Caenorhabditis elegans: one gene and its partners. The protein of the gene in region 2 purifies or fractionates together with the protein of the main gene of each other region. This does not show direct contact. Each region holds a gene or a part of one and is shown on either strand. Other genes may lie near its edges. The genes, in order: prdx-6, wago-1 and ZK402.5.

What was found.
Region 1: the proteins of wago-1 (region 2) and prdx-6 fractionate together in Caenorhabditis elegans (co-fractionation; one large-scale study listed by BioGRID). This does not show direct contact.
Region 3: the proteins of wago-1 (region 2) and ZK402.5 fractionate together in Caenorhabditis elegans (co-fractionation; one large-scale study listed by BioGRID). This does not show direct contact.

Annotation. Positions count from the first base shown.
Region 1 is NC_003282.8:216,660-220,414, reverse strand, and holds the start of prdx-6 (Thioredoxin domain-containing protein), read right to left. Parts: upstream 1,864-3,755; 5' UTR 1,849-1,863; coding exon 1,763-1,848; intron 954-1,762; coding exon 573-953; intron 1-572. Other genes in the region: Y38C1AA.1 (Phospholipid/glycerol acyltransferase domain-containing protein), read right to left, coding at 3,413-3,544.
Region 2 is NC_003279.8:7,233,783-7,237,537, reverse strand, and holds the start of wago-1 (Argonaute protein wago-1), read right to left. Parts: upstream 2,155-3,755; 5' UTR 2,131-2,154; coding exon 1,966-2,130; intron 1,920-1,965; coding exon 1,339-1,919; intron 1,295-1,338; coding exon 562-1,294; intron 514-561; coding exon 338-513; intron 295-337; coding exon 119-294; intron 77-118; coding exon 1-76. Other genes in the region: R06C7.2 (BEN domain-containing protein), read left to right, coding at 3,037-3,359, 3,410-3,434, 3,478-3,665, 3,713-3,755. UniProt on the Caenorhabditis elegans protein: Argonaute protein which is involved in the endogenous small interfering RNA (endo-siRNA) pathway. Interacts with secondary 22G-RNAs, which are RNA-dependent RNA polymerase-derived endo-siRNAs, typically 22 nucleotides in length with a 5'guanosine residue.
Region 3 is NC_003284.9:1,399,662-1,403,416, forward strand, and holds the start of ZK402.5 (SPK domain-containing protein), read right to left. Parts: upstream 1,699-3,755; 5' UTR 1,582-1,698; intron 970-1,581; 5' UTR 878-969; coding exon 870-877; intron 823-869; coding exon 541-822; intron 497-540; coding exon 383-496; intron 335-382; coding exon 71-334; intron 20-70; coding exon 1-19.

The DNA of each region.
Region 1 (3,755 bases), on a different chromosome or scaffold from region 2:
ATTTTCTAGTTTCACGTGGTGTCAGGCTGTCCCATTACCACTGGGTTCTGGCCTTTCTCATTGAATTTTCGCGCTCCGTAAATCTACACAAAATCTCTCCGACCCAAAATGGCCTAGTTCGGCCAACTCTGCCATTTCGATTTATAAGGGAAGCCAGAAATCCGTGCATCACGGTTTGATCTACAAAAAATGCCGGAATTTTTTGCCCAAAAAAAAGTGACGTCAGCACGTTCTTAATCATACGAAATCAGTTAAAAACTCTGCGTCTCTTCTCCCGCATTTTTTGTAGATCAACGTAGATCAATCCAAAATGAGATACTCTGACACCACGTGTAGTTTGGCAAACAGTTTTAAAAAAAACGGAGTCATTCGAAAATTGTGGAAAATTTAGCTTTTTCAATTTTTTTGTTTCAGGAGGCTTGCAAAAATCTACTTGCAAAAAAAGCAAAAATAGTTTTTTTTAGAATTCAAATTTCAACAAAAATCTATTGATTATTCGAATTCTGTGAATTTTTGAGATCCAGAAATGTCTGAAAACTTGAATTCTCTCCCCTCGAAATCTTCTCACTCACACAAAATTTCTGCCGAACGTAGCCGGATAGAGAATCTTCGATTTGAGCTTCTTATCAGGTCCAAAAAGCATCACAGCACGAGCCGAAAGACAGATTCCCTCCGAATTCATCTCATCCGGATCAATCATTCCGAGTTCTGTACAAATCGATCGATCCGTGTCGGCGATGATTTCAAATGGCAAATGGCTTCCGCAATTGCTCAATTGTGCCACCGAATTAATGTCTTTTGCCCAATCACGATGAGTTTCTGATGAATCGATACTGATCGCAAGGATCTGAACATGGCGTTTGCGGAATTCGGGAGCCAATTTGACGAGCTCGGCGAGTTCTGTAGTGCAGACGGGCGTAAAGTCGGCCGGGTGACTGAACAGCATCAGCCATCTGAAAATTGGATCGTTTTGGATTGGAATTTATTTTTTTAATAAAAGAATTTTAAAGTGAAAAAGTAGATTTTTGCAAAAAAAAATTATAAAAATTCTGAAATACTTTTTAAATGTGTTTTTTCAACTTTTTGCGAAAATTATTCAGGACTTTTTTAAAATATTTAAATTCACCTGAAAATGTAACTTTTGAAAAAAAAAATTTCGAAATGTTTTTAACATTTTTTATATAGTAAATCGTTAATTTTTTAGAAAAAAAAAATCCATATTTTTTTGGAAAATAGATGTTATTAAAGGTGGAGTAGTCGAATTTTTATTTATTTCTTTACTAGACTCAAAATTGTCTGAAAACGCCAAATTTCAACATGAAACTTCTTGAAAACTTCTCAAAAAAAAGTTATGACGGCTTAAAAACTAGCCTAAAATTAGTTAAAATCGAAAATTTGACCGACTTGTCAATGTCGAAGCGGCTGGAACCAATTTTTTTTGAAATCATCGTCAAATTTTGAGTAAAGGCGACATTGAAAAGTAGGTCAAATTTCTAATTTTAACTAATTTTAGGCCATTTTTGAGCCGTCTTAATTTTTTTTTTGAGAAATTTTCATGAAATTTCATAACGAAATTCCTTGTTTTCAGACAATTTTGAGTCTAATAAAGCAATTTAAAAAAATCCGGCTACACCACCTTTAACTCAATTTTTCATTTTTTTTCAAAATTTCCAAAAAAATTTGTTTTTTCAAAATCCTTTCAAATTAACTCAAACTATCCAATAAAGTACAACCAAATTAACAATTTTTTCTCCAAACTCACTGTTCTCCAATGTAGTTGTGCAAAGTTTGATTTTTGCGAAGATCCGTTTCGAATGTAAAATTTGGAACGGTGTCTCCGAGCTTCATCTCTTGAGTTTTAATCTGAAATTTATTATAATTTTCAGTTTTTTGAATGTTTCAATAAAAAAGTAAAAAATAGTTTCTTAAGAAGATAATATGATTTGGCTCAGCAAAGAAAAAACAAAAAAAAATTTCCAATCACAACAAAATTCAATTTATTTCGTTATTTCAGGGAAATGTTGACATGATTGTGTAGGTGATCGTGATCTACCGTACCAGTAGACACCTTCGTGTTGCTCGAAAAAATGTGAAAATTCGAGAAAACAACTCAAAAATAGCCAAGAAAAGGGCGGAGCGTAATCCAAATTAAAATCGCTAATAGGCTCCGCCCATATATTGGCTTTAAGCTTTTATAAATATCAAAAGCTTTCAAAATTTCAGAATTTTTTTAAAAGAATTTTTTTATTAATTCAGTAAAACTTAATTGAAACGTGCGTATTAAATCATTTATACATAAAAGCCATGAGATGGGCGGAGCTTATTTTGTGGTTTTTGTTCCCGGCGAATGTCATCTGTTTTATGTGTTAGACTTCACTTTCCAATCGGATATTTGGAGTGGTGTCGGACAATGAAATTATTTGTAATAAGCTCCACCCATTTCTTGGTTTTTTAAAATTCAATTTCTTAGATTTCAGCATTAAAATTGTTCTAAAACAAGAAAATTTAATTGGTTTTTTGTTTTGAAAATCTAAAGAGCTTTAGACCAAAAAGTTTGTTGAAGGAAACTTGAGAACCCGAACACAAAGTAAATAAAACAATTTTATTTCACTTTTTTCAGCCTCAAATTATTTGGAATAGGCTCCGCCCATTTCTTGGTTCTTTCAAAAATTCCATTCAATAGATCCCAGCAAAAATTAAAAACAAAAACAAATAATTTCCAGAAAAAAGTTAAGAAAAATTTAGATAGCTAATTTTTTTTCGTTGTTTTTAAACAATTAAAAAAAAAATTTCCAGAAAAAAGTTTTTCCAACGTTTTTTTTAGGAATTTGATTTTTTTTTTTAATTTTTGATTTTTCGCTTTAAAAAGTAATTACAAAAAAACTTTTTTTAAAAAACTGAAAAGGTTCTAAGCTTAGATAAAACTAGCAAATTATTTGAAAAAAGGAAAAAAATCAAAATATAAAATCATTGGTAGAGTAAACAAAGGAAAAAAAGCAAAAAAAAAACGTTAAAAATAATAGAAATTTGATTTATTATTATGACGGGGGGAAAAGTACACATTTATCACAGTTAAGACGGGTTTTTTGTAAAATAAAGTAATTTCTACGAAAAAAAGGGGTATAATTTGTAAATTATTGATTAGATCAAGGACAGGGATGCAAATTTTGAAAAAAAAATCATTAAAAATTACTGAAAAATCCCACAGAAAATGCTCAAAAACTACTAGAAATTTCGATTTCTCGAGAATTTTTTTTTTTGAATATTGTAGCAATTTCCGCTGGATATTTTCAATGAGAACCTCCCAAAAAAAGAGATTAAAAGCTGCAAAATTGAAAATTACACAGAAATTTAGATGCACAGAGAGATCCAAAAAGAACACAAAAATACAGTATTCAGATTTAAAAAAAATTTAGATTCCACCGAGCTCATCAACTTCATCATCATCATCTTCAACTCCGGATCGATCCCGTCGGAGCACCACGATATCTTCTGAGTCTGACGTTGGACTCGTCGTTCCTGCTCCGTTTCGTTGTAGGAGTTCCTGAAAAGATTAAGAATTAAAAATTGTTTTGGAGAATGGAAAATTTTCTTTAATTTCCATATATTCAAGAAAATTTGCAGGAATTTTTGGAAAATGTCATAGTTACTGAACCGTTTCTTTTTTATGATTTTAATTTTTAACAAAAATTCGTCAAAATAATAAATAAAACATAACAATTCATAATTTTCAGCCGCACCAAAAAAGTATTATG
Region 2 (3,755 bases):
ACAACGGCATTGGCTTTGGAAATTTTCATATCCTGGACGATCATCATTGTTCTCTGTTCCAAGGCTTTGTACTGCTCTGAAATTTTCAATGAACCATGAAAACTTAAGGAAAACTTACTGTGGAGGTGAACGATTGCGTCATCAGTGATCATCAAGACATACTTGCACTTACTCGCAGCCACTTTTTCCAGCTGAGTCATAATTTTTTCCGTACTGTAAAGTCCTGTTTCACATGGTGGCTTGATCACCATGCCTTTCTTCTTGCAAGAATCAATGAACATTCCGACGAGTTGGCTTAAGAATTGAATTGATTCATGTAAATTTCTATTTGTCTTACTTGACATCTCCAATGGAGAATCTGCAACCTGGATTTCCAACAGCGTAAGCAGCCCACAAATCAGGAACAGTCGCAGGCTTCACAAACCATCCTGGAGGCGCACGCCATTTTCCCATATCCGACATTACCGATCTCTGGTATACAAGTTCTTTTCCATCAAGCTCACGTGCTTGGACCTGGAAAAAGAAAACAAATATATTTTTTTACAATTTACACAAACTAACCATCAGAGGCTCCGAGTAAACCTTGATTCCAAGAGCGACGAGCAACTCGTTTTCGAGTGTAATGTTGACAGCATTTTTACCAGTGATGATCATTCGCTGACGGACATCCGGAAGAACCGCGCACTCCTTCGTTGTCTTTTGAGATTGATTTCCCGTTTGCTGAGGAATGGTGACACGTTGATTTCTGGACACAGTCATCAGTTCAGCCGGGAAGTAATTGTTGTTGCCTCGATCCTTACAAACCACCAAATTGGCGTTCGGATACTGTAGACTGATCTTGTATTTGTCCGCATAGTACTCGGCGATTGAACAAGTTTTTCCATCGGGCAACTCAAATCTGGTCTTTGTGGCACTTTCGTGAAAGATACCTTCGATTCTTAGATGGCGCTTTCTGTTGGTATAAGTCGAATAGCAATCAAGTCCTTTAATCACTGCCGCAGCCTTCTCACGGGTCATATTATTGAGTCCATTTGAAGGATCTTGTCCCGTGATGTCGAACAGTTTTTGGATCACAGTTTGCTCTTTGTGGAAAGCAGCTTTCATACCATCAATCACGAGAGATGGATTGTTCTGTCCGCGACCATAAGGACCCTCGATGAATTGAATCGTCTTCTTGAGGCCAGGATAAAGTTGTTTTCCGTCTCCTACGTCGACACAGTCTCGTTGATCGAATCCTTCTTCGGTGGCGTTGAGGAAATATACTTTTCCGTGCTCGAAGCATCCGAAACGATTTCTAAAATGAAGCGATGCTTTTAATAATTTTCGAAATTCACTTACGTTTCTCTCACGCAATGTTGATTCAGAGCAAGTTCCAAGAATTGAGTGTATTCTCGATTGTTTACTTCAATGTTTTGATCCGCAGTACGCTTGCCCAGATTTTCAGAAGAGAGCGTGATAGAGTTGTCCCTTGGGGCATAAATCTCGAGAGAAATGCAAGGCAGGGTCTTAAGGTCGTCATTGCCGGTATCAGCTCCGTTGATTTGGAAGACTTTGGACTTCGTACCGTTGGCATCCAGTTCTGAGAACAAGTTGACCGTCGTGTAGAGAGTTGATTGACCGTCATATACAATCTGATTCCCATCCTTCATTTTGAAGAATTCCGGGTTCTTCTCAACCGCAAGGAAAAAGATGTTGCAACACTTATCGCGACGATCCTGAACGACGAAGTCCTCCTTTCCTTTTTTAGTGAAAGTCACTTCCTTTGTTGAAGTCAAATCGGCCTTTGCGTGAACCATAAAACGATGAACTGTGGTTTCCTTTGTGACTTCAATTCCGAAGACATTGGTTTGGATGTCCACTGGTCTGCCCATTTTTCCAGGTTCGGTTGGCTTCATGTACATTTTCGCACCATCCTCAACCTGCAAATATGGCATTAGAAAGATCTTTGAATGCTGATAAACATACGTTTAACTGTTGTAAACGCTTGATGCATGCGTCGTTGCCAGTGCTTTGGTGAAGCTTTTGAGCATCGGCTGGAACTGGAGGCATTGGAGTCATAGCTCCTGGTGGAGCAGTGACTGGTGGCATTGGAGGCATCGGTGGATGCGGTTGTGGTGGATGAGGAGACATCTTATTACTATTGCAATATTAGTTCTGAAAAAAGCTTATATAAATAATATTCTGCACCGAATAAGCGAGATTGGAGAACATCTATAGAAAATTATGAATTTGTGAGATATTTAACAATAGTTTAAACAAATAAATCAGTTTTCTTCAAGAGATCAATCTAGAACGAAAATGGTACGTTATGAAGAAAGGGCAAACTACGGAATTTTCGTATTGCCGACGAAAAAGAATAATGATTCGAGATTTTTCGGTGTTTCAGAGGCGGCATAAAAACAAATAACGACTAGATTTGTACAAAATCATCATTATTAATGACGCAAGAATACAGAATCCGATAATTGGCGGCTAGATCAAATGTAGATCACTTTTACATTTTTAAGATTCAACGAGCAAGTTTCTTAAGATTTTGTAACTAGATTATTATTAAAATATAAAAATAATCTTGAAAATTAACAAAAATTATTGAAAACTGTCACAAACCGGAAAAGAATACAAAAAACAATTTCTTCGTCCTAAAAAATTTAAATGACAACGCATACAGTACATAAGAATGGAGATCGCTGCGAGACCCACTCAGTGTTAAAACGAACGCTCCTTGAATTTATTTTTGCTGTACAGCCTTATTTTTCTCCTTTTTACAAGTATTGTGTGCTTTCCATGTTTTAAAAAGTGACTTAGTTGTTAATTTTATTTTGAATGATACTCATCTAATTCAGGCTTGTAGCTTAGATCGCAATGAAGTTAATCGTTTGCAACCTATGTGGATTCCCGCCAGCAAGAAGGCAATTTTACATCACCACCTGCTCTCACATCTTGTCGAACAACGCAGACTGCTGGATTTTGTTATTTGTGTAAGGTCCCTACGAAAACTCTTAAAATAGATGGAAATCTGCCGAAAATGTGCGGAAAATGTTCAGCGCTGTACATCCCGATTCGCGACGTGACTGTAAAAAGTACAGATATTCTCAAACGTCTCACCAGAATTATTGGTTTTTAAAGTATTCAGAATTCAATTTATTAGGAAAACGAAAAATAAAAGGTAATTTTTTGCACTTGTTTCATGCAGAAGAAAAAGTTTTATTTCAGTCGGTGATGCTAAAAGATCAAACGGCGAAAACAGAGAAAAGGACACAGGAAATCACATGCCAACTGTCGAAGCTAGCCAATTTTGAGGAAAATAATCGAAAGAAGCTTCAAGATACTGAACGCGAGAACAAGAAGCTTCGAAATTTGTAAGTAGTTTCTGCACGAGATTAAATTTAACATTTTTTTTCTATTTTAGAATCAATTCCCTTGAACTGAAACTTGTCAGTTCTCCTGTTATCGACAATAACGATTTTTTTATTCAAGGAAAATCTACCTCTTCAAATCCTTTTTTTTTTAATCTCGGAAAATGACGAATTGCTCGAACGTGTATTTCACTTCCATTGTGCCACCTTCACCAAATTGTCAGACTTCCAACTTCTTTTTTTTCCAACACCAATGTATGTTGCAAATGAGTACGCGAAGAGTGGTCGTAATTTGTGGAATGAAGCCATGTGAGTTTAAGAAAATGACAACAGTTGATATTAAAATATTTTTGCAGCATTGCGGATGCAATTCCCGAAGTTTCTGGACCAGAGGCAGCT
Region 3 (3,755 bases), on a different chromosome or scaffold from region 2:
GTCGTCGTCACTCGAGCTCCTGAAAATAATCAAATAAAATACTGCGTAATATGAAATTGACAGGATATACATTTCAGTTCTCGCTCTTTTCGGAGATCTAGGAAGAGAAGTCGCCGAATCTACGCCATCTTCGTCGCTCTCGGCTTGGTTCGTCGTCTGACTTGCATTCATGACCATGTGCACGTGTCGACCAGCCTTTCGGTGATATGCAGATGTTCTTTTCATTCTTGCCGAATGACTGTGGTCCGCCTCCAACTTCAGCTTTCCATCACGTGATGCATACTCGCAAATTCGTTTGCCATCATTGAGCACGACAATTCCCTCCGTTTGAACTCTGTAAATCACTATTCGTTAACTCAAAAACCTTTTTAAAATTTTTTACTGTGTCAGAAAGTCGTCCGAAACTTCTCCAACAAGCCCAAGCATCACTCGGAGACGGCTTTCAATACTGTAATTGTCCAGTTGATCCATGTTTGGCGCAAGCTTTTTATGGAATCTAAATCTAAATTTATTAAAGAGAACCAGGTATAATATTCTCACTTTCGATAATAGGCTCCATCCGAACATCTGGCATTTTCTTTTTTACCGAACTCCATGAAAACTTTTGTTGCCACCAGTGGCTCATTGGCTTCTTTCGTCTTTTCAACAAGAAACGTCATCAATCTTACGTCATCGGCGGAGAGCATGATCTTCGTTGACCTCTTTCGTGCTGCCTTAGAAGATTTACTGTGGATTCTTTCCAACGTGAGTTTTCCGTCGCGTGACTTATAATTGCAGATTCGCATTTTCTTGTCAATCTTAACAGTGCCAGTCGATTTGATCCTGCAACAAACTAAATTCATAAATCTGAAGGTAACATCTCTCCTCACAATGTCATGAACTTGTCCGACACTTTTGCCGACAAGGCAAACGTCACTTGAATGCGTGACACGACACTGTATTCGTTTTTTTCGTTTTATGTTCCGACCCCTACAATACTTTAATACGAATAATTGAAACAAAATTACAATATAAAAAGTTTAAGTTTTAAAAAAATTTTTGGTCGACTTCCAGAATTATGAGTGGCAAAAAATGAGTTGTCAATCGTCATTTTTTGACAGTAAATAAAAAATTTCAAAAAAATTTTAAAAAGTTTTGTTGTGATATTTGGTCATTTTGGCATCATATTAATAGTTTTCTAATAGTTTTAGCACTTTTCCCACTGGCGCTACTCCACAGCATTTTTGAATGCTTTTCTTAAACTCTTTGAGTATTCCTACACAGTATTTTAAACTTAAAATAATCAATCCACCTTATATCAAAGTTAATAAGCAATATTTGAAAAATTTTAATGTTTCATAATAGAATTTAAAGAGTATAGCACTATCTCAGCGGTTTTAAATAATTTTCACCAATGACAAACACCTACTTTTAAAAATTAAAAAAATTTGAGAAGAAAAGCCCGAAAATTCAAATAAAGTGATAACCAAGAGTGTTATCAGTTTTCCAATTTAATAAATTTCTCAAAATTTAGCAACAAATTGCATATTTTGAAATAAAATTCCCACTTACCTGTTGAAACAAATTCAAAAAAAAACTTACTTTTCTACCAATTAATATTACTAAAGTAAAAATAGGAATAACATTAGAAAAGGTTCATATAGAAAACTAGAAGAATAGAAGAGGGTCACCACCAGTAACCCAAGTAAAACAAAGAATGATTGGAAATGTAGAATGTTGCTGTGCAGCTGCTAACGCCAAGGTTATATGAACACAGTGAGTCATTCTTTTCTACGTACCTATCTAGACGGTGACAACATGTTTGAGGGTTTTATGGTGGGGTGACAATATGTTGTCGACTAAAGGAATCCATCCATCAATATTTACCAATATGAATAATATTTCGAATATATTGTAATTTAGGAAGTTCTCGGAATACATGTGACTTGAATAATACAACTTTGAATGGGGTTATTCAAATAGTGTCGGAAAATTAAAAAGTGTTGAAAAATTACGTCACAACTGTAGGTATTAAAGGTGGGGTACCGAAATCTAGGAAATATTTTTAAATAACTCCAAATTTTCCCCTGATTCCGAACATCTATGTGAACAAATTAAAAAAATCCCTGATTATATATTTGATCTTGAAATCGCGTTTTTCATTTGCGTACCCATGAGATTTTTCAAATGCGCGCAAATAAAACTATACAAAAATTATTTTAGAGATTGAAAAACGTTGCCCCTATTATGTTGTCCCGAGGTAGAGTTGGCCACAGGACTGGGACCAAAAAAAGTTTGGACCAAAAAACAAAAATTGAAATTTTTGAAAAACCAAAAAAAAAAAAACGAAAATAAATTACGATGCTTAAGGATTCGTATTAAAGTATTGTAGGGGTCGGAACATAAAACGAAAAAAACGAATACAGTGTCGTGTCACGCATTCAAGTGACGTTTGCCTTGTCGGCAAAAGTGTCGGACAAGTTCATGACATTGTGAGGAGAGATGTTACCTTCAGATTTATGAATTTAGTTTGTTGCAGGATCAAATCGACTGGCACTGTTAAGATTGACAAGAAAATGCGAATCTGCAATTATAAGTCACGCGACGGAAAACTCACGTTGGAAAGAATCCACAGTAAATCTTCTAAGGCAGCACGAAAGAGGTCAACGAAGATCATGCTCTCCGCCGATGACGTAAGATTGATGACGTTTCTTGTTGAAAAGACGAAAGAAGCCAATGAGCCACTGGTGGCAACAAAAGTTTTCATGGAGTTCGGTAAAAAAGAAAATGCCAGATGTTCGGATGGAGCCTATTATCGAAAGTGAGAATATTATACCTGGTTCTCTTTAATAAATTTAGATTTAGATTCCATAAAAAGCTTGCGCCAAACATGGATCAACTGGACAATTACAGTATTGAAAGCCGTGTCCGAGTGATGCTTGGGCTTGCTGGAGAAGTTTCGGACGACTTTCAGTAGTATGTGGAGCTAAATTTCCCACCCCCAGCCAGGGAGCTAAATTTCGCACCTGCCACTCAAACCGCGTTCATGCACCGATTTTTTTCAAATCTATATCGTTTTCTTCGTCAGGAGAACAGAGAATTACGCAAAATAATTCTCAATCTCGAGGCCCTGGATGAGATTGAAGGACTCATTAGAGTATGGTGAGTTTTTTTTCTTAGTCTTTTTTTACCTTACCCTACCGTTTACAGGACAGAATAAATGCTTCTGGTCTCCTTGCCATTCAAGTCACCATTCAAGTGCCACCGTGTCTGGTCTCCTCGCCATTCAAGTTATAAATTACAATTTCCATTTTTTTCTGAATAAAAGCTTTGTTTTCGTTTTATTTGTTTAATAAACAATTTGGATGGAAAATGGAATCTTTTATCATTTGTGAAAATCTTTGAAAATAAAAAAAGTTTCGACAAAAAACTGAATAATTCTTCAAACATTTAAATTTGATACATCTCCTTAACTTTATTCTTCAATCTTGAAGCTGAAAATTCCGCGCCGAATGCACTGATAACTTTTGAGAATACATATAAAATTGAAAACCACCGACATCTCACCCTTCCACCATCTCTCTCATGGGTGGCAGGCGGGAAATTTAGCTCCCTGACTAGGCTTGAAATTTAGCTCCCCGGCATCACTCCAGCCTTCCCCCTTTTCTCTCATGGGTGGGGTAGGTGCGAAATTTAGCTCCCTGGCCTTCGGCCATCACCGTAACTGAACTCACCTCTCCCCCTTCTTTCCCTGCAGTGTGGGTGGCAGGTGCGAA